Arabidopsis thaliana: one gene and its partners. The main gene of each other region encodes a partner of the protein of the gene in region 3 in a complex. Each region holds a gene or a part of one and is shown on either strand. Other genes may lie near its edges. The genes, in order: AT5G65220, PSRP5 and RPL27.

Region 1 (7,189 bases), 9.7 Mb from region 3:
AAGAGAAATGCATCAGACTAATGTTTTCACTAAATTCAAGAAAGATGTGAATAATCAATCACATACAATTACCTGAGTTGCTCGAAGACCAGAGGGCGATCCTGTACTAAATCAGAATTCAGAAAGTGCCTTTGATCAAATTTGTTCTGCTACTATCATATGAAAAATGTATGAGTCCTGCAACAAGTCCTAAGACAGACAATAATGAAGATTATTAGAACAAAATTTAGAAGCAGCAACACCTGAACAATGTATAACATTGTATCTATCGAACCAGTGGTAATCATTAATGGCTCTACGCTTGGTGGTCACAACTAAAATTAGCCAATTGGACTGTGTCACATAGCACCTATTGATATAGGCAAGCCAGAATTGATGAGATTGATATATTCCACATGCAAGTAAAGACAATTGTATTTACAAGATTAAGGTGTTTGAAGGCACTTTTTAACTTAATAATCAAACAATCTGTATTGACTTCACTCCAATGGTAGGAACTAGGAAAGAATGATGCTACTGAAAAACATGTATTGAATTGTTGTACCTTTGCATTATCTAACCTGAGATTTCTTAAAACCAATCCATAAAGCCGAACAAGGACATCTCCATAGAAGATCCAAGAAGCTGAAAAGGCACAAGGAGGTAAGAACCAACCAAAATAATCTTCAGATTCAATCCAAATGAGAATGATGCAATCATGCAAGTAGTGCTTATATCAACACATTGGTCTGACTTTGATATAAGAAGTGAACACAAGCAAAAAAAGGCCTATTACCGTTCTTACTGAAGGCTTTCTAAAGGACTTGGACAATCCACCTTAAACATATTGGTCTAAGCCAAGCAAACTGCATTTTTATAATGATAGCACTAGTCAGTCGAAATGCTCATAGAGAATAACTATCTATATGTTTTATCAAGCTTAAGAGATTGTACATATGTATATGCATCACCATCTAGAAAAAGGGGACAGTTAGTGTAAGCTAGAAAACAAAGTTAAAAGAAAAGGACCATTTAAGGTGACAAGATACAAAAAGTCTAAAAGTTCTGCTTTCCTTAATCAAGAGGAGAATTTTAAAAGCTTGAAATCATGTTAGAATCACAATTGCTTCATGAAATGAATCAAAGCCTGAAACTAGTGGATAGTAAATGAACAAAAAAGATTGGGCAGAAGCATCAACAAACCTCTGGAAGTTAAGAGAGTCGGTCTTGTTCATCTTTACCTTCACAGGCATCAAGAAGAAGACAAAAAGAAAATCCAAAATACCTGCATAAATAACATTTGTTGCTTTTAAGGAAATAGTAGTTGAAGTAAAACAGGCTAAAGAGTATGGACTTTTCACGAAAGCAGAAGACCAAGACAAACATGGAGGAAGCTTTTTGCATGAAAAGCAAGTCACATGTTGTGATCCAGAAGTACCAAAGATCTTTGCATGAACACTATACGTAAGACACTTACATAATAAAATAATCGTGTCAAAAGCATCATAGAAAGCTGTGCAAAGCACATGACTGGAGTTGGTAAGACAGGTCTTCAGAAAAATAGTTACAAATAAAACATACAAAGCTATTCATATGCAAATCTCATAAATCACCTTTAGATATGCAATTTTTGTCTCAAGTCTCTTGTACTTAACATAACACCGCATAGCTCACAAATCTACGCTGAAAAGTTGACGACTTTTGGTCAGTTTAAAATGCAGGATAAGTGTAAACTGATGTATGTGAACAGCACAATGCAGCTGTCAAACTCAACTTCAGATAAACTTTGCACTAAAAAAAAAACACAGTTTTGACCATTAGTCATTTAAAATAGTTGTGGGCAGATAGATCTTTTGACTTAATTGTAATATAAGGTATTAGGTGAATCATCGTGGTCCGATCATTGCTATATCAACAGTTTTGTTATCCAACTACAATGGTAATGAGAAATCAACATGTGAAAATCTACTACTGCTAGTTAACAAGAGCATCGATCTCAAATCAAAAACATTAAATTAACAACCATCTCAGTATCTCACAGGTTTGTTGGCTTCCAGAAATGACTACATACCTGTCAAGAACTCATATATAGCAGCCTCGATAGCAAACTACTAGTAAACGAAACATGACTTCTTATTGAACTATGTTTATATCAGTCGTATTCAAACTTTTAAGAAAAGAAAAAACAAAGAGAAGAAACTACTAATTTGAGATTATTTTATCACTAGTCCCCACTTCTGAAAGAAGATTTCAACACCACTGAGTCAGAAAAATTATTGGCCAGATCTTCAATATACTAATAAGAAAAGGACAAAAATAGTAAAACAAAAACCAAACCCATTGTTGGTTGACTAACAAAAAAAACTAACAATGAAGTCTCAATGAGATTTACCAAGATGAGATTTTTCTACTACATTCGATTGCATAAACGGATTTTATTTTGAAAGTGAATCGCTGAAATCTAGGGTTTCATGCCCAAACAAGAAACATCATCGGAAACATAATCGTATTAGTTGAATCCTTAAAATCTGTAAGAAATATCACTTTACCTCATAGACTCGCCGGAAAAAAAATCCAAACCCAGCCGGAATCTACCACCGAATACCTCATCTACGCACACAAAGACAGAAACTTTAACGCACCATTCTATTTCTAAGCCCACCATTGATTCCTCAATAAATTCCTAATTTTCCCGCCAATGTTTTGGATTTTTCCTTTTATTTATTTATCTTTATTCTTATTTGATGTTTTTCGAACTTCGAATGATTACTAGTTTCTTTGTCAGATTGGATGATAATTCTGATGAAACATGAAGGAACGATTTCAATCTTTAAGGGATTCATGTAAACTACTTGATAAGGAAAGTGTTTACACCAAAAGAAAAACAAATACAAGATGGTTCAGCAACAAATAACAGAGATTAACAACATCTCGAGGAAACAACAAGGAAGAGACCATAAATCAATAGCGGGTTTTTTCAAGCAGATTTAGCAGCTTCAGCTGCTTCTTCTGCAGCTTCTTCTTCTTGAAGTTTCTTCAGAGACGGAGGTGGTCTTGGTACTATGCTTTTCTTCCATTGTCTGTCAAGTTTCCTCGACAACCTTTTCTTTATCCCTTCTTTGATCTCCCTCTCTCTTTTAACCGTCAACATCCGAGCAACCTAAATCACCCACAACCAAAAGATCACATCTTCAGTACCAGAAAAGAGACGGACGTAAGCCAAAAAAACCAAGAAATCTCTACTTGAATTTAGTGTCATCTCCAGCTAAGTTGGGTGGATTAGTCACTTAGAGCTCAAGATTCATGTCTGATTGAAATCCCAGCAATCAGTAAAACCAAAGCAAGTAAATTCTCATCTAAAGCTAGTTTGGTGCATTGGCACACTTAAAAGACTAAACAAACGATATCGCAAAGCTCAACATTCATGTCTAACTGAAACCGTAGTATCCTAAGAACATATTCGAAGCTTGTGTGCAAGAATCTATAAAAGGGGATGGATTGAACTCAATATTAAATCTCTAATTCCATTCCACCACCTACCAAAAACAGTATTAGATATCACAAAACAGTAACTTACAATGTTGCCATTGTTAGAGTTTAGAATCAACTATAATGTGTAGAACAAACAACACAAAACATTGCTTATAGAGTTCGCTAACATCTTCTACAACTTCATATTAAATAATCCTATTTTCCATGGTGATGATTTCAATGTTTCCATCAATAAACCACATATCCCAATTTTGTTAAACCCTTTCAAAGACTGCCAAAATCGACCAGATAACACAAAGTAGATTTCACAATTTGGAATAATTCTGCATTAAAGAGTAAGAAAAAAGCTTACTTGTTTCTTCATACGACGAAAGTCGCTAGATTTGAACTCATTCCTTGCCGATTTCTGGAGACGAAGCATAAAGAGCTCACCTTTAAGGTCAACAACCTCCTCTTGTAACTGCTCCGTCGTCTTCGATCTTATCTCTTTCAATTCCGCCTCTCTTTTCGACATCATCACCACCGACGGTTTAGGAGACGACGACGATATCGTCGCCGCCGCGGGGACGCGAGCAGAAACCTGGTGCTGGATTCTGACACCATGGAATGAAGACGAAGTTGAAGTCGCCGAAGCAGTTCCTCTACGAAAAATCGCCGCCGTCCCCGGCGTAGCGATTGAGAGACTAAGCATTGTAGCTATGGCGGAGGAAGAAGAAGAAGAGCAGAGTTCTCACTCTCGAGCGATTTTGAGGATAATGAAGAGAAGAAACTCTATGAGATAAGGCTTTTCTTATATCTTACTATTTGCCCCTTTATTTACCTCTAATTACGAAACTGGTCCAAACGTATCAAAAAAAATCAAATAGGTGTCACACAAAACGTAAAATTAAGTAAAGCCCCTATAGTTTTCAAATTGCAGATAGCTCGACATTATTACAGGGGATTTGGAACCAAGTTTATATAATTCTGAAATTGTTTACAAATCAAACAAACATTCGAAAAACTTGCCTCTTTCAAAAGCTAAAAAGTACAAATTTTTGCACCCCCACCTTTTTCTGATATTTACAACTTATCAATACATGATGTTTTTCAAATTTTCTAATTCCGCCGCAGAGTAAAAATAAATATCAGCAGCAACCCCTCTATTTATTCAGAGTAGTCCTCTGTTTTCAGATGCACTCATTCTTCATTTTTTGAGGTCTTTCCATTTTCTTCATTTGGTTGTTACAAAATAACTCAAACCTACGTTGGTTCACGATGTCGAGTTGCCCAACTTGAGCTCAAGGCTCTAAGCCGTTGAAAATACTCACCAAGAGCTAATAATCCTCGAGCCGCTTGTCGCGTTGTCAATATCCGATACATTTGTTGCAATGTTTCATGTCTCAAGTGATCAGCCTAAGAATGAACAAACAAAATCAAGAAACTGATACTATAGTATTTTCAAATGAGTTTGAATATATATATTTTACCTGATTTACGAAACTGACCAAAGCTTCTAATCTATCCATAGCAGAATTCACCTGAGGAATGTAACTTCCTTCACCGAGTTGTCCCGCTGCAACGCAGTCCGCAAGGGTGTGTTGCAGCTTCTCCATACCTTGAGTCAACGCGTCTTCTGCTTGCTGACACGATTGTTTTAGATTGCATACATCTAGAAGTTGTTGATCCGTCAAGACATCAAAATGTGGCAAAAGAACCTACAAAAAAAAACATTTGAAACATTGTAATCTTGCTTGTTTCCTTCTATTCATTAAACATTACGCTAGATTGTTATTTGTTTTATACCTTGAGAAGATCGGAGGGTCGAAATCCGCCAATCCATAAGAAGAATCGTTCTGCTGAAGTTCTCCACATCCCTGACATGACGAAGAAGACATCGGCTTTGGCAGCAGACGATTTCATCCGGAAAAGCTCAAAGTAATGTTTCATGGCGTTTTCGACTAGCGAACGAAGCTCGATATCGTTAATGTGTCCGTGTAAAACTGTTCTTAGTTCACATATCTGTCTGTTCTGTTCTTCAACCCAATGTCCATATTCCATTTCAAATGCAGCAATCCCTGCAAATCAAATAAGCTTCCACCAATCAAAATCTTGAATTCTATATTTTTTCCAAAAGACTCATTGTTCTTGATTCAAAACCTGGATTCATGGTTTCCGAAAAACCGAGAGAATTAGTATCTATTCCGTTTCCTACATAGAATCCCTGAAAACATTCATATTCAATCAGAAATTGCATTATATTTTGGAACTCGAAAGAAAGCGAATATATATTTAGATTTCATTTCATTAACCTGTTGTCTAGCACGATCGAGTTCTTGCTCTAATTGAATTAGCTTCAACCTGCTTGTTTCCAGTTGCTGAACATAAGCCTGCAAAAAAAAAAAACAATCAAATCTCTCAACTCATTAGGCAAACAGAAACAGTTTACCAAGGGGAAGAAAATGAAGTCATACCTTCTTGCGCAAGCGACTTTTCCTAGCAGCCTCGCGGTTTTGAGCAAGCCGTCTTTGTATCTGTAACGATATAACGATTTAGTCTATATGATGCGTAGAAATTTATGATTAAGAAACTGATAGAGAAGTATTTGAATAGCTAACCTTATCGGGATGTCTAGACGTTGAAGCTTCTTGATCGAACATGTGAGGAGTTCCTGCTGTTCCATGGGAAGTATCCTCTGACTATAAAAAAAAAAAAAAGATTGTCAAGAAATGAAAGCTAGTTTAAATTTCTGAAAACAGACCAAACAAATTTATCATCAGGAGGTTGAAGAGCAATGAAGTAAAAAAGTACCACGTTGTTGTCTAGTTTCTGATTATTCGGTATTATTATGTGGTTTGGTGTGTTCATAGTCCCATTGCTAATATTGCTTTTGAAACTCTCCCCCCACATACCGAATTGATGGACAGGTTCGTATATACCAACTCTTCTCGGTGGCACAAAATGTGTCGATGTCGAATTCATGTTTTCCTCAACTGAAAACAAAGAACAAATTGTTTAAACAATGTGACAAAGCATTCAAAATCAAGCAGATCAAGACATTCCAAAGAACAAAAGATGAGCATTAGTTTTCAACCAAAAGTTAGATCACACAAAGTCAAACAAGCATAACACGTAAAGCAAATAGTGAACTTTTGATGTTTCTTCGCCAAATTCTTCGAAGAAAACAGGACAAAATCATCTTTAAATTCCAGAGACTTTATACAAAGAAAGAAACCAGAGGGGACACGGAGATTCCCTAAGACCTTGGAGAGCACCAAAAGATCACAACTGAAACATATATTGTAATGACAGGCTAAAAGAACTTAAGGCTAAAAGAACTTAAAGGATTTAACTTCAAATCACCCATTTCATCAACACAAACTCCTCACCATCCGCCTTCAAATCTAAAACCTTAAACCTACACCGGAAAAAAGAGAAGAAGCCATTTCCCCAATAGTGTTTGGAAGGTGTCAAATAGATAAGATGATAAAAATTAATGTTAAGCAGACGAAAAGCTCCATAAGTCAAGTTTCCACTTATTAGGATGTCACTTTATTTTCAGCACCTAATTGTGTGGACCAACTTAACATAGTTTAGCAGTTAAAACGACTATACAAAAAATAAGAAATTCCCATTCATTGCTTTGTTAAATTTTTGTACGCAAATGGTAACGAAAGGTGAAATCAAGATAGTAAGAGATATCAACAATAAAAGCAAAAGCCAATCATGAAGTCAATAG
Region 2 (7,050 bases), on a different chromosome or scaffold from region 3:
GAATCAAGAAAAACCCCCAGAAACGGAAAACAAAATCTCTTCTTTCCTTGAAGAAAAAGATTAACAATATGAAAACACTCGAATTTGATTTGTAGTTCGAGAGGGAGAGAGACAGGGGATAATGGAAGCTGTCGTCTCTCTCACTCGAAAATCACAAAGAACTATTTTCGCTGTTTTGCAAAATTGCGATCTCTTTTGCCCCTTTTCTCTTTTCTCTTTCCTTTTTCTTTTGGTAATAAATATATTTTTTATTCCAATCTCATTACCGAATATTCAGACAGGAGTAAATGAGATAATGGGGACAATGTATGTAATTAGGACAAGTGATTACGCTAATAGGAGGATGTCTGTTCGAACTAAGAAGGAATAATTTCTTGTTTAACTTAGATTTTTATTACTTAAAAATATTGTTATTTCATTGGTCGGCCAACTATATCTATAAATATTATTAGATAAATAGAATGATGCAACAATGAGCTGGTGAAGCCAAGTCAAATCATCTCTCAATCAAACGTGCTTCACACCTAGATTTTTTCCATCATTTGTGTTTTTCTTCATCTTCTTTCTTCTTTTCCTTTTATAAATGCTTCACTTCTTCGATTATTTTTGTAATTAGTTTGTTCTATGAATGCTTTCAGCAAAAAAAAAGAAGAAGAAGAAGTCAATTTGATTAAAGATCTCACAAAAATAAGATGAGATATTATTGTTATATATGTATATAGCTTTTGCTCAATTGGTAAAGTATTTTGAGCTTTTTTATATATAGAAATAGAATATTAAACATATCAACGAATCATCATCATCTCTTCACATCCCTCTGTCTCTTTGTTTTCTCTATTGGCAAATTTTTCTTCTTTTCTTATAAACCCCTTACCGTAAGACCTAAGAAACACTATACATTATATGAACCCTAAAAAGAAAGATGGAGACAATAATAAACACCAAATTGAATTACCTGTAACGCAAGAAACGATTATTTATGTACACCAATTCTCCTAATTCCTATTCTTAATGGGAAAAAGTTTAAAACTCATCTTGACGAGTAAAGAGAGAAAGAGAGCTACATGGCTTTGAATTACAAAAGTAGATTTTACACCTGTTTGTCCTTTACTTTGGCCTATCTTGATCTCACTTCCACGCTCGAGCTTCTCCTTGTTTTCCGCTGGTTCTTGGTAGACCAAAGCAGTCGTTGTGGCGTCTTCATCCATACTTATCTCTTGACAGCCGTGCCACCGTTGTTACCGTTCTCTAGCTTCGGAATCAGACTTTCCACTGCTCATTTTCGTGTCTTTTGGACCAAAGGCTCTGACTAGCTCAGAGGCTATGGATCCAACCTCCACATCGTCTTCTTCTTCTGGCGACCAATCTCTGAAATTGATCAAAGGTGGTGGAATTTTTGCAAAGAATAGCTCCTTGAAGTTCTCTAAGATCCCCTTTCGGTAAGGGTTTTCCTTCTTGTCGTAATGGTACCGAAAATTCTCACAAGTCGTCTGCAAAACATAACAAGAGAATCAGACCAACAGTAAAAGCTACTTGGAAACTACGTTAAAAGCTAAAGAATCTTGCCTGGTTGGTGCAGATAAGGTAGAAGTGGAAGACAGTAAGTCCACCAACAAACCAAACGGAAACAAAGCAGTAGAGACCAAGAACACCTAATATTAAGTCATCAGCGAGAACAACATAGAATTCCCCATGGACTTTAAGCATGCTGACCCATGAGAAGACGAAAACGTAGATGCAGAGGAGTGTTGAACATGATAAGAAACAGACGAAGAATGGATAGTTACGCTGCAAAACAAAAGCCCGTAGATAACATATCAACTCATAGATCTTACTCAGTTCTTTGTCTAGGAAGTGAGAATTAATAGTAAGACTTACCAAGGCGATGCACTGACCAACCCAAGGACAGTGATGATCAAACCTTTGGACACAGTTATTGCAGATTGAGCAGTGAAAGGCACGAGGAGGACGATATAGCTGACAGGTATCGCAAAACTTCACTTTGACAGTGAAGCCATTCACCATTACATCTTTTGTTCGAGGTAGTTTCACACTTCCTAATTTGCTAGTCACCCATTCTGTCGATTGGGTGGTAACATCAGGAATCTCTGCCTCAGACACTTGTTTGTTCCTTGGGATAATCCCGGGGTCTCTCGATGATGTCAAGAAGAGAAAAGTGAAAGCCTAGATAAAAAGTAAGACGTAAGAAGATGCATGAATTTGGCTTAAGGTATGACTTGGCTTATGAAAGTAAGTAAATAGCAAAGCTTTATAGTTATACCATGAATGTGAGAAGAATTGCACCAATCAAAGTAAGAGAATGAAAGAAAGGGTGACGATGGCTTATCAAATAAGCCATCCTGATGGAGAAAGCGATAGCTGGCCCTCCTATCATACATGTGGTCAAAAGAAGTGACGATGCATCTGGACCAAACACTAGTCTTCCCCCACAGTAAAATTTCTGAAACACGAAAACAAATTGAGAAACTCCACTTCAGATGATGATTTCATATAGACAGAAGCTAGGATCTTGCTTTTGCTAAAATCATGTGTGAAACAATACACATAAAAATCTTAGACTATTTCCATTGAGAGAATCTTAAAAGCTCATGTTCTTCAAACTTTAGCACAGAGAGAAGCAGAGCATATATTAGTAACAAAATCAATTCCGAGCATCTTGAGGTATTTTCCTCATTCATGATTCTTATCTTCCAAAGTTAAAATCCTATAAAAATCCACAATGCGGTTTTAAAAATGTAAATTTGCTGTCAAATCATCAGAAGTCTTACATTTTTGGCGGGCCAAACTTGATAGATCCTTTGTCGTTCAAGATTCTGAGAAGACATAACGTTTTTCTTCGGGGAATGAAACTCAGAAATGTTATTCGCTTTGTTTCCAGTCTCAGAATCCGCGGCTAGACACGTCCTACAGCTCCATATCCAAGTTTCCTCAATTCACAGCCAAGCGAATGAAACCGGCGATATCCAAATCGTGCCGCCGATTGTGCGGATTTTGTTCTCCTTTCGTCTTCTGATTATGGTTTCTGTTTGATAGATTTGTTTCTTTCTCTCTCTCTCCCTTTCTCCATAGATTTGTCCTCCGCCATTGGAAGTTGCTCAAAACACCAACCAACATCATTCTCTGGAACAACCTTAACTTAGCCTTTCTCCCGCCAATCACACACTGGGACAGCCACGTGTCAACTCACAGTTCTATAAAAAGTACCCACTCCGGTTTATCTATTCAACCCGAATCAGGAAAAAGAAGCCGGTTCGTTTGATAATTTCTGTATTTAATTAAACCGGATTGAGCCGGATCAATCCAATCCGTTCGTTAAGAAGACACAGACAGAGAGAAGGAGAAAAAGCTTATCCACTATCAAATGAAAGTCTGAAGACAAATTCTTCCATTAGAAGAAGAAGATGGCTCTTCTCTGCTTCAATTCTCTCCCTTCTCTCTCTTCTCTTTCTTCTTCTTCTTCCTCGCGCCTTCTTCAATCTCCGTCTTTCGCTTCTCCAGGTAATGTCTTGTCACTCGTTTCTAGTCTTGACATTTCGCTTTTGCTTCGTTTTGTCGTGGAATTGTATCGGGAAAAAAAAAAAAACAATAGAGACCCATGGAACCAAATTGAAGCTCCTGGGCTAGTTCAATTTCTTGATTGTCCCAAAAAAGTGAAGTTTTGTTTTAGGGCAGTCAGGTTTTAAGCTTAAAGATCGAAGCATTTAATCGAACACTTGGTTTACTTGTAATGCTCTAATCTTTTGTGTTTCAGTTTTGAGCCTTAAACCCAACGCTGTCGAGTCCAAGAACAGAGTCTCTCTCAGTGCTTACAGCTTGAACTCTAGCCATGGAAGAATTGTGGTGAAGGCGGCTGCTTCTGGCGTGGACGGGGCTGAGCCTGAGAGCAAGGAGGAACCAAAGACTGTTGTTGCTGCTGTTCCAGTGGATAAACTACCGTTGGAATCGAAAGAAGCTAAAGAGAAACTGCTCTTGGAATTGAGGCTGAAGATGAAGCTGGCCAAAAAGATTAGGCTACGCAGGAAACGTCTGGTTCGTAAGCGTAAGATGAGGAAGAAGGGTCGATGGCCACCTTCCAAGATGAAGAAAAACAAGAATGTCTAAGTGACTCAACTGTTTGCTGCTTTTCGTATTCGTTTTTTGTAATGTTCTTTTTGGTGTTCAAAGACCATTAATGTACTTCAAATGCAACCATTGTTTTTGGATTTAACTTCAAAGCTGAGTTCTTTAAAGAAACCATTTGTATACAAAGAGTGAGCAGTCTACAAAATAGAACCAAAAAGTTTGAAACTTGCATTAAATTTGAACCATTTGGCTATTAAGGAAGAACATGTGAGCGGAAGATGAGAGGATAGGTGCAACAGAATCCGGTGCTCCAACACTGCAACAAGGTTTATTTGGAAGATTAATTAACTAACCGATTCTACCTGTATGAATACTTTGGCATGAAAAGAGACTTAATCAAGCATATGCCTTACCACAGAAAGGAGTGGACCTTGCTTGAACTTGTCATGGAATGAAAAGGAGAGAGCTTTCGGGTTTTCTCCAGGTCCTCTGATGAAACCGCTGTAATCATAAAAGCATCAGATTTTGTCTATCCATTTAGACAATGCAAAGATATACAAAAGGAGGTCAAGTCCGATGGAATGGATAACAGTAAGAGTTACTTACACTAGTGATGCTGATACAATAGGTGTCCTTCGTGTGTCGTAGATGGCAATCAATCCTTTGTAATTTTCATCGCCTCCTTTGTACGACACAGCCAATCGTTCTCCAGATGCATCCCATGCTATCTTCTCGATGCCCTCACTGGTTATTTCAGTTATGAAAGACAATATCAAGAAGTGATTAACGGAAGGCCTTTGCAAGGGTTTATTGAACAAAACAATCAAATAATTTACCAGCCAGTTAGAGAAGCAATCTCTGGCAATTCAACTGGTAATAGATGGGCATCTGAAAGTAAACCAAAACAGAGATTTAGTGTGCTAACTGGTAAGTATTTCTAGTAGTATAGGCAAAACGACTTCAAAGTTTCTGCATACCCAAGGATGGTGGCTTGGATGAGAAATGAACAGAGCCCAGTGTTGAAGATTTCGAAAACGAAATCAAGATAAACCGTCCTTCGGGATCCCATATCGCTCCCTATCATAGAAGGGAGTATAGTATTATTGCTTGGTCCATTTACGAAGATGGAACACAGTTGCAATTTCATACATAAAAGAAGGAAATGAATGCTTTAGTACAATGGAGTCATGTACATAAGCTATGCATACCACACTAGTGACGTTAACCTCTCCAACAAAACGCTTTTAACAATACTCTATTGCATATCTCACTATTATAGGCTCACGATCTTACCGTGACAGATCCAGATCCACTAGACAAAGACCAGGGTTCAGATGTCCATGTGTTTGTTTCCCAAAGACAAAAAGTCCCATCACTGTGACAGAAAAACATTTTATTAGCAATCATATCAAACAGGAAGCTACTTTCCACATCTGTAAAAAAGAAAGAGAGTTGATGTCCTACAATCTTGCTGCAAAGAAGTAGTCTCCTGTAGGTGACCATTTAAGCATTGATATTCCACCTAGTCCCCGTCTAATAGGTGTCCCTGCCCCTGGAAGATGTATACATATCACTTTCAGAAACAAGGAATTGCAAGATGCATTTTCTCATCTCAACGCAACAGATAGGATGTTAAATAAGAGGAAGCTGGATTAATGTTCAAACATTTGCATGATGTTGTGCATTAAGAAAGTGTTCTTAATTGTCGTTCTAGTTACCTTGAGAAACATCCCATATGGTGAAAGATGAACTGTCATATGAGGCTGATGCTAAATACGTGAAAATAGGTCAAGGAGTAACAGGATGGACAAAGTTAGGGATCCATGTGATGCAAAGACAGAAAAGATCGAACAAATCCAAATACTTTCCCAACAAATGCCTATCATGCGATGCGGCTTGATAAACAACTATGGTAATTGAAATGATCATGGAAACGTATGTAGTTAAGTAACAACTCCAAAATGAAGTTAAGCAAAACAGTTATAGCAGAAATTTTGTTTAGGATATCTTCCACAGGGGCTCCATGAGAGAGCACTAATTTGCTCATCATTTTGACACCGAAGAAAGTCCACCAAAATCCAACGAGTTCCAGATCCTCGAGAGAGACTTCCCCTCAATGCGGAACCACCAGATCTAACCAATGCCATGTTACCCGGATATGAAGCAGCCCATATGCATATTCCTCCCCTGTTTCAATGGAACAGTTATTACAGTAGAATCAAACTTAGTTATCTATGAAACTGGCTACTCTAGAAAGTAGACAGGATCAGAAGACCAATAATACACACCGACAGGCAATGGATAGGGATTTTCCACCATTTGGTCTCCACTCAAGGGCTTTAACATTTCTTTGTGAATCACTTGTCAAAATGCAAGGTTCTTTCTCATCTGTTCAAAAGAAGAATATGAAACTGTATGCACACACCGGCAAATGTGAACTAGGAATCCTGAATTGAATAAATAAAACAAACCTTTGTCCTCATAATCACGAATTGTAACTTGATTTGCACCGGATATAAAGGCAATAATATGCTTCCCTTGATGCCAACTCACTCCTTGAAGATCAATCTCTGAGAGTAGAGTTACCTAGAAAAGAAAAGGTGAGCAAGGCTGTGGCTTTATTAATAACAGCTATGATAATGCCATTTTGAAATTGCAAAGAACATCCCTCCTATCAATTCCCCTAGATACATAAAGATAAGTATTGTAACCATCAATCACAAAATGCTAAGCTTTCTTTAGTCAACCAAACAAAGAAACAGACTGATAGTTGAAACTCTTACATCGGTGGGTTGTAAAATCTGTTTAAGAGAGTCTGCAACCTTCATCTGCAGTGTTGCAACCAGTCCTTTACTCTCACCACTTGCCTTATCTCCATTCTCTTGTCCTTCATTTTCCTGAAGAGAGCTAGGAGTAGAGTCGAACGAAACAGGGCTAAACACCATTCCCTGTGATCAAACGCAAAAC
Region 3 (7,162 bases):
ATTATAACTTAATGACATCAATACAAGCTTAATGATTATTACATTTTTCAGTATTAACTCAATGCACAACACAAACTAGAGAACAGAGTAAAGTATACAAATCCCTAAAAACAGAGTTCCAGATCTCAGAAGATTCCTGAGAGGGAGAGAGCTCAGATTCAGCAAAAGGGTTACCTTTATTTCGGCCCATAAATTAGCCGGTAGTGATGTGGAGATTGACAGCGAGGATCAAGATGGTGTAAGCAGCGAAGAAGATGAGTGTGTGAACGGCGATGGCTTTGCCGTTGGTTTTCATGCCGCCGAATTGGAGAGTATGGTGATGTCCGGGCAACGAGAAAAGAAGTCCCGGAGAAAGGATAACGAATAATACAACTCCGACGAGAACTGGAGCCCAATCCGCCATTGCTGTGAAGTAGAAAACGTAAAAGCAGACGCCTTTTTTCGATAAAGCGGTGGCGTGACTCGTGAGAGAGAGTAAAAGAGTCAAAAACAGAGACTTGAAAGTTGAAACAAAGAAGAAAAGCTGAGCTAAGCCCAATTCTTATTTTATTTTCTTCATATTTATTTTGAGTTAATTCCAACATTATTATTTTTTGTTACAATTTTGAGATAATCTCGTATATATTGCCCACTAGAAAGTAAAAAGATTAGCATTTCGGGATGGAAAAAATATATTTGTCAAACAAATTACTAAGATTTATATCGTCTTGATTTTATAGTCACCAAAAAAAATTATAAATACTAAATTTTGGAGATATGAAAAGTGTACAATAACTATATAAAAAAGTTGAATTTTTGTTTTTAGTAGGAAAAAAAAGTGGAGAAATATTGTTCTCTTCTTACGGAATATATTGGTCGCTTAGCAAGTGGTGGACCCGTTACTTGTAATCTAATTTAGTCTTCTCAAGTCAAACAAATTCTACTAATCAAGAATACATTCCAAGTAATAAAATAACAAAATTCCTCCAAACGTATTTCGAAAAGTGGCGTGTACATTTATTGATCACCGAAAGATATGTCGCTATTCATGTGAATCACATAGGATTTTGAATGTGACATAGAACCGTTTCTCTACAAATTACATACATTGTTTATTTTTCTTCTGTTTTTACATTGCTTAATTGTAAAACAGAGTACAATTATATTATTGAAAGTTATTCTTCCAAAGGCAAAACTGCACCACGTAAATTGGTTAAACCGCTCAAACCGCTCAAACCGCATAGAATAGATATACAGCTCAAACCATGTTTATTCTAATACAATCGAGCATTTGATATGCTTAAGCTAGAATCGTTTCAAATTCAAACTCTCCTTCGATAGCCAATTACGATTAAATTAAGACACCTCACCTAAAGCAAAATTCCAAAAAATCTCTCTCTTCCTTTAATTGTAAAGAACTAGACTTTATCAGATTCTCATTCTCACAATTCCATCATCTCCTTTTTCACCCATCCAAACCTATTTCCCACTCTCTTCTTTCTTTCTCCATTTCTCTTTTTCTTTTTCTTTTGTTCTTGTTCTTGTAAGAAGAGATGCATGATTGGGCTGCACCGTTGATAGCTTCGGCTTTGTTCGCGTTTCTGTCGCCAGGGTTGATACTGCAGTTTCCGGGGAAAGAATCTCCGGTGGGTTTCATGAACATGAAGACGACGGTAGCTTCTATTTTCGTTCACACTGTTCTCTATGGTCTCTTTCTTATCCTCTTTCTCGTTGTTCTCAACGTCCATGTCTATGCATAGCTCATTTATTACACTCATGTATGTGCCTCTCTGCTTTGTGCTACAAGGTTTTACTACTGATATGCTTTGTTTTAGGATTTGTCTTTGTTCTTCTTCTTAATTACTGCTCCTAGAATTTAAAACTTCTCATCAATTACTATTTTTGCTCTAGGCCTTTAGTGTTATTCAATAATATATCGTCATCTTACATATATATATCGTTACATACATGTGTATAAGTATTTGACCTCAAGCTGGTGAAATATGGCCTAAAGATAACACAAAGGATCTAATATGGTACAGGTAAAACGTTAGCGAAATTGATGGATTCAAGATGAGCAAGATATAGATAAATGAAAAAAAAAAAACATAGAATAATAATTTCATTCCACTAATTATGCAATGATAGACGAAAATGAATATTATTCAATTTCTTTTTTGTACCACTATCTACATATTCCGAAATGCTAAGTAATTGGGCTAAAACCCATTATTTCGCTAGAAGGCCCATAAAGTCTTCGGCTTCTTAGACTAACAATGGATCCATTTTTGGGATCCAAATAAGTTTTATAATTTTTATAATAAAAAAACCTCAAATAGACACTTGAACTAGATTTATACTTGACTAAATCTAATTGGGGCATTCAAAGGTTTGGTGGTCTCTCTTATCAATGATTCAGAATTACTAAGTTGGAAGAGAAATTCACTAAATTAAAACCTTTGAGGCTTTGACTAATTAACAATAACCATTTGATTACACTAATAACTCAAGTTGGGTAAAAATCCGCCTGCTTGGGACTCAATTTGACAAAAGAGAGGCTTGGATTCGACAATACAACCAACTCTTAATACTCTGAAAGGATCATTTTTCATAAACAAGACTAAACAAAAAGAGACAAGGAAACTCCACATTCAATCTTCTAGCACTCCGGATTGGCTTCAGCATCATCGACTGAGGCAGATGCAAGAACAAGTTCTGGTGTAGGAAGTGTGTACGAGTAATTCTCGCGTCTCGCCTTCTTCTTCTCCCTTTGCAATCTGAAGTTTTCTCTCTTTCTTGCTCTGTAGCTATTGGGATTCTCTGGTACAATTTCTCTTGGATACACACTTATCTGCAAAAACAAGTCTCATTTCCTTTAACATCCTAGAAGATTAAGAAAGCTTATAAACCTTACTCAGTATAACTACAGGTATACCTTCTTCCTGTCAGGACCAAACTTCTCGAACTTGACTAATCCATCGATTAAAGAGAAGATGGTATGATCTTTACCAATCCCAACATTTTTCCCAGCATGGAACTGCACCAAACATCACCATTCATGAATCAATCTTCTCAAACAATATAGTTCCATCCTAAACACAAACATAACGTAGAACTTCCAGAGAAATGGCAATGGCATCAGAAACAAGAGCTACTAAATACGAAAATTCATCCTAAACCCAGATGTGTTCGAGAATGGAATCTGAAAACAGAGCTTGAGAGCTAAACCCATAAGAAACTGACCAAATTGACAGAGTTGCGGTGAAATTAGAAGAGAATTGAAAGAGGAGCTTAAGAGGTTCTCAATTTCAACAATTCTGTGTTCTTAAGTGTTACCTTAGTGCCACGTTGACGAACAATGATAGCACCAGGTTTAGCAACTTGGTCACCGTAGATCTTGACGCCGAGTCGTTGCCCAGGAGAATCACGACCGTTCTTGGTGCTACCAGCTCCTTTCTTATGGGCCGATTCAATTGTCAACGGAATCGGAGCTTGAAGATTTTCCAGAGGAAGAGTCACCGTGAAAGAGGTTTTGGGGGAAAAACTCAAATCGCCTCTAAGAAAAGACGAAGTCGAAGAAAGAGACAAGCCTTTGAATGCCCCAATTAGATTCAAACTCATCGATGTTGCCATCGCCATTGGTAAAATCACCAGAGAATTCGTTGGAGTTTCGAAATGGAGAAATTAGGGTTTTCTGAGGTTGAAGAAGAAGTTCTTCTCCTTATCGTTTCGTCTCACTCTCTCGATTAGTGACCACTAAAATTACACGTCATCAAATAATGTAAGATAAGGTGAGTACACGTCAGCAAGTAAATAATGGAAAAAGAGAAAAAAGTGAATGTTGACAGTGGGATTTGAACCCACGCCCTTTCGGACCAGAACCTTAATCTGGCGCCTTAGACCAACTCGGCCATATCAACTTGTTGTATAAAATATTAAATCTAAATATATAGACTACAGTTTCAAATATTCATTATATAGTAGAAATTTCTCAGATAAAAACAAAAACCAAACTTAGAATAATAATATGCAAGAAGCAGCCAAAAATAATTATAGACTTTAGCTATAATATTAAAACATAAATTAGGATTTATACTGACAATGTCACTCTAAAAATTATTTTTACATTGGCGGAAAAATGTAATTTTCTGATTTGGCAAAAAAAAAATATTATTTGATTTTGACATGTTTTTACAGTTTTGACCGAAAATTAAAAATTATATTATTTGAGTTTCATAGACTGTCTAGTTGGTTAGAGGAGAAAAAAGTATTATGAACAAGATGAGAGATCACTATGACTCTCCTGTCATTAGTAGCAAGCCTTAAATAATGTTTGGAGATTTTAATGAGATTTTAGAACTTGTGGAGCATTCTAGAGCTGAAGACAACCCTATTATACCAATGGAATGAGAGACTTTCAATCAGTGGTAAACTATTGCTTTGTTTGAGACCTATCATCCCATGGTCCGCTGTATACTTGGTGTAATAAGCGAGAAAATGATCTTATCTTAAAGAAGTTGGATAGAGTTATAGAGACATGGACACAAACTTTTCTTTTTGATTGGATGGAAAGTCATAGGAGAGTTATAGTGATCTCTCATCTCTACTAATTGTTTATGGTTTTCATATTTATTGACAAAAGTATCTTTCAAAGACCTTCATTGTTCTTGAAATTCGACGATGAAGGTCTTTGGAACGGTAAATGGTAATTGGTTGTTTATTCTCTTTTAGTTATGTTTTCTATATTTTCATTTCTTTCTGCCTTCAAAAGAATTTGATATCATGTCTGTTTCCTATTCAATTTGCCTACTAATGATTCTCTCTCATAGAATTATTGTGAACAGCCACTAAAATATTTTTACCATAATCGACATGCTTTCTTATCATAAGTCACTACACCTACTTGGAAATGAACACTGGATTGTTTGAAACAAATGCATATTTCGAAGGTTGAGTTAGAAAGTGATGTAAGATACTTATGCAAAAACTTAAGAGTAAGTCTTGCTAATCATCCAAAAGACCATGAGAAAATAACATTTTTATGTCGAAAGGGGAGGATTCTCTTTGTGCTCCCTCTGCCAATAAAGAGGCAAAACCAATATAGCTAGAAACCTAGCAATGTTCTTAAGAACGAAATATATAGCAAAGTCATTGGCTCCAATCCTTTTTGGATTTGGGTAGACCCATGTAATTACTAGGATCCGGATTAGTTATATGTTAACCATGTAAAAACTATGTTAAATAATTAAGAAATTAAATGTCCATTATCAAATTAAACTTCATCTGTTTTTCATTATACTGAAAATTACAAAACTAAAAATAAAGCAAGTAAGCAAAATCTAAAAATCCTCGTCAAGCTTGAAGACATGATCATCATTAAACGCAGCGTTTCCATGAACACTAGACATAACAGAAGCTTTCTGATACTCACCAACTCTCTTCTCAAAAAAGTTGGTCTTACCCTGAAGCGAAATCAATTCCATCCAATCAAAAGGATTAGTCACACCATACACCTTACCACACCCAAGCGCAGCCAACAACCTATCAGCAACGAACTCAATGTACTGACTCATCAACTCACGATTCATCCCAACCAAGGCACAAGAAAGCGCGTCACAAACAAACTCTCTCTCAATCTCAACAGCATCACAAACAATCGCTTTCAAACGATCTTCATCAAACTTAGTTCTAAGAAGACTATATATCAAACAAGCGAAATCACAGTGAAGACCTTCGTCTCTCGAAATCAATTCGTTTGAAAAAGTGAGTCCAGGCATTAAACCTCGTTTCTTCAACCAGAATATCGAACAAAAGCTACCGGAGAAGAATATACCTTCAACGCAAGCAAACGCTACGATTCTCTCAGCGAAGCTTTGAGATCCGTTGATCCATTTCATAGCCCATTCTGCTTTTTTCGTCACAAGGAATGGTTTCGATTGCACGAAAAAGATGATCTCTCTCTTTGTTGTCTTTGATATACGTGTCGAGAAGGAGACTATACATCTCGGAGTGAATATTCTCAATCGCGATTTGGAATCCGTAGAAGGCACGAGCTTCTGAGATCTGAACATCGGACATGAATCTAGTTGAGAGATTCTCGAGAACGATTCCGTCTGATGCGGCGAAGAAGGCGAGGACGTGTTTAATGAAGTGACGTTCGTCGTTGGTTAGTGAGTTTTCCCAGTCGCGATTGTCTTGAGAGAGATCGACTTCTTCGGCTGTCCAGAAGGATGCTTCGGCTTTCTTGTACATCTCCCAAATCTGTGGGTATTGGATTGGGAACATACAGAATCGATCTGGTGTTGGTGTTAGGATTGGTTCCTCTGGCATCGAAGGCATTTTTTCCGGTGAAGAAGATTTAATCGATGAGTGTTTATTGTTGTGTGGATTATCATGGATTTGTAATTGAGATATTTATTCTGAAAATTTGGAGATTTAGGAGGGAAAATGTAAAAATGTTTTCTTGTTTTTAGAGAGGGAAATAAGAAAAAGAAGCGGGAGGGAAAATGTGAAAAACTGAAAACTAAAAAAGAAAAAAACATATGGGCCTGTTGACAAAAAAACACATGGGCCTATGAATAAAAAGCCCAGTAAATATTTTCCCTCTCTTAATAGGACGGACTATAAAAACTGTAACTTCCTCTGCAACGGCTTTTCTCTGAAACCAAACGAAAAAAAAAGCTCGAAGAACGCATCAATGGCGTCGAAGCTTCTAACGACCTTCTTCCTCATATTTTTCGTTCTCGATATCGATCTCGTCGCAACTTCTATGACATCTGTTTCATCCGCCGTGGAAGTTCTTTCCGATTCCGGCTACTTATCCATGGGACTCACACTAAAGCTCGCGAATCAAGATCTAAACCTCGAAGATTGGCAAGAACTCACCCTCTTCGCACCTTCTGATCAATCTTTCTCTAAGTTTGGTCAACCTTCGCTTCTCGATATGAAGTACCAGCTCTCTCCGACGAGACTCCCAGGAGAAACCTTAAGAAACCTCCCAAATGGCGCCAAAATCCCTACTCTCAGATCTAATTACTCTCTAACCGTCACGAATTCTTCACGATTCGGAGGTAAAACTTCGATCAACAACGTCGTAGTCCAAGATTCTCCTGTTTTTGACGACGGATACGTCGTGATTTACGGATCCGACGAGTTTTTCACATCACCGACGAAAATCTCCGAC

What was found.
Region 1: RPL27 (region 3) and AT5G65220 share a complex: the UniProt entries of both Arabidopsis thaliana proteins name them as parts of the 50S ribosomal subunit.
Region 2: RPL27 (region 3) and PSRP5 share a complex: the UniProt entries of both Arabidopsis thaliana proteins name them as parts of the 50S ribosomal subunit.

Annotation. Positions count from the first base shown.
Region 1 is NC_003076.8:26,058,274-26,065,462, reverse strand, and holds AT5G65220 (Ribosomal L29 family protein), read right to left. Parts: upstream 4,299-7,189; 5' UTR 4,163-4,298; coding exon 3,824-4,162; intron 3,140-3,823; coding exon 2,957-3,139; 3' UTR 2,781-2,956; downstream 1-2,780. Other genes in the region: AT5G65225 (uncharacterized protein), read right to left, coding at 73-101, 243-349, 561-663, 1,221-1,264, 2,529-2,533; TGA1 (bZIP transcription factor family protein), read right to left, coding at 4,714-4,866, 4,941-5,168, 5,257-5,528, 5,611-5,674, 5,763-5,840, 5,925-5,984, 6,069-6,149, 6,262-6,432.
Region 2 is NC_003074.8:21,066,630-21,073,679, reverse strand, and holds PSRP5 (plastid-specific 50S ribosomal protein 5), read left to right. Parts: upstream 1-3,323; 5' UTR 3,324-3,422; coding exon 3,423-3,519; intron 3,520-3,772; coding exon 3,773-4,122; 3' UTR 4,123-4,269; downstream 4,270-7,050. Other genes in the region: AT3G56920 (DHHC-type zinc finger family protein), read right to left, coding at 1,239-1,490, 1,567-1,788, 1,879-2,184, 2,282-2,461, 2,790-2,846; AT3G56900 (Transducin/WD40 repeat-like superfamily protein), read right to left, coding at 4,337-4,399, 4,497-4,584, 4,690-4,827, 4,920-4,971, 5,061-5,160, 5,377-5,458, 5,548-5,635, 5,802-5,860 and 4 more.
Region 3 is NC_003076.8:16,407,322-16,414,483, reverse strand, and holds RPL27 (ribosomal protein large subunit 27), read right to left. Parts: upstream 3,703-7,162; 5' UTR 3,619-3,702; coding exon 3,316-3,618; intron 3,017-3,315; coding exon 2,915-3,016; intron 2,831-2,914; coding exon 2,639-2,830; 3' UTR 2,370-2,638; downstream 1-2,369. Other genes in the region: AT5G40970 (hypothetical protein (DUF 3339)), read right to left, coding at 177-584; AT5G40960 (transmembrane protein, putative (DUF 3339)), read left to right, coding at 1,533-1,739; FLA20 (putative fasciclin-like arabinogalactan protein 20), read left to right, coding at 6,554-7,162.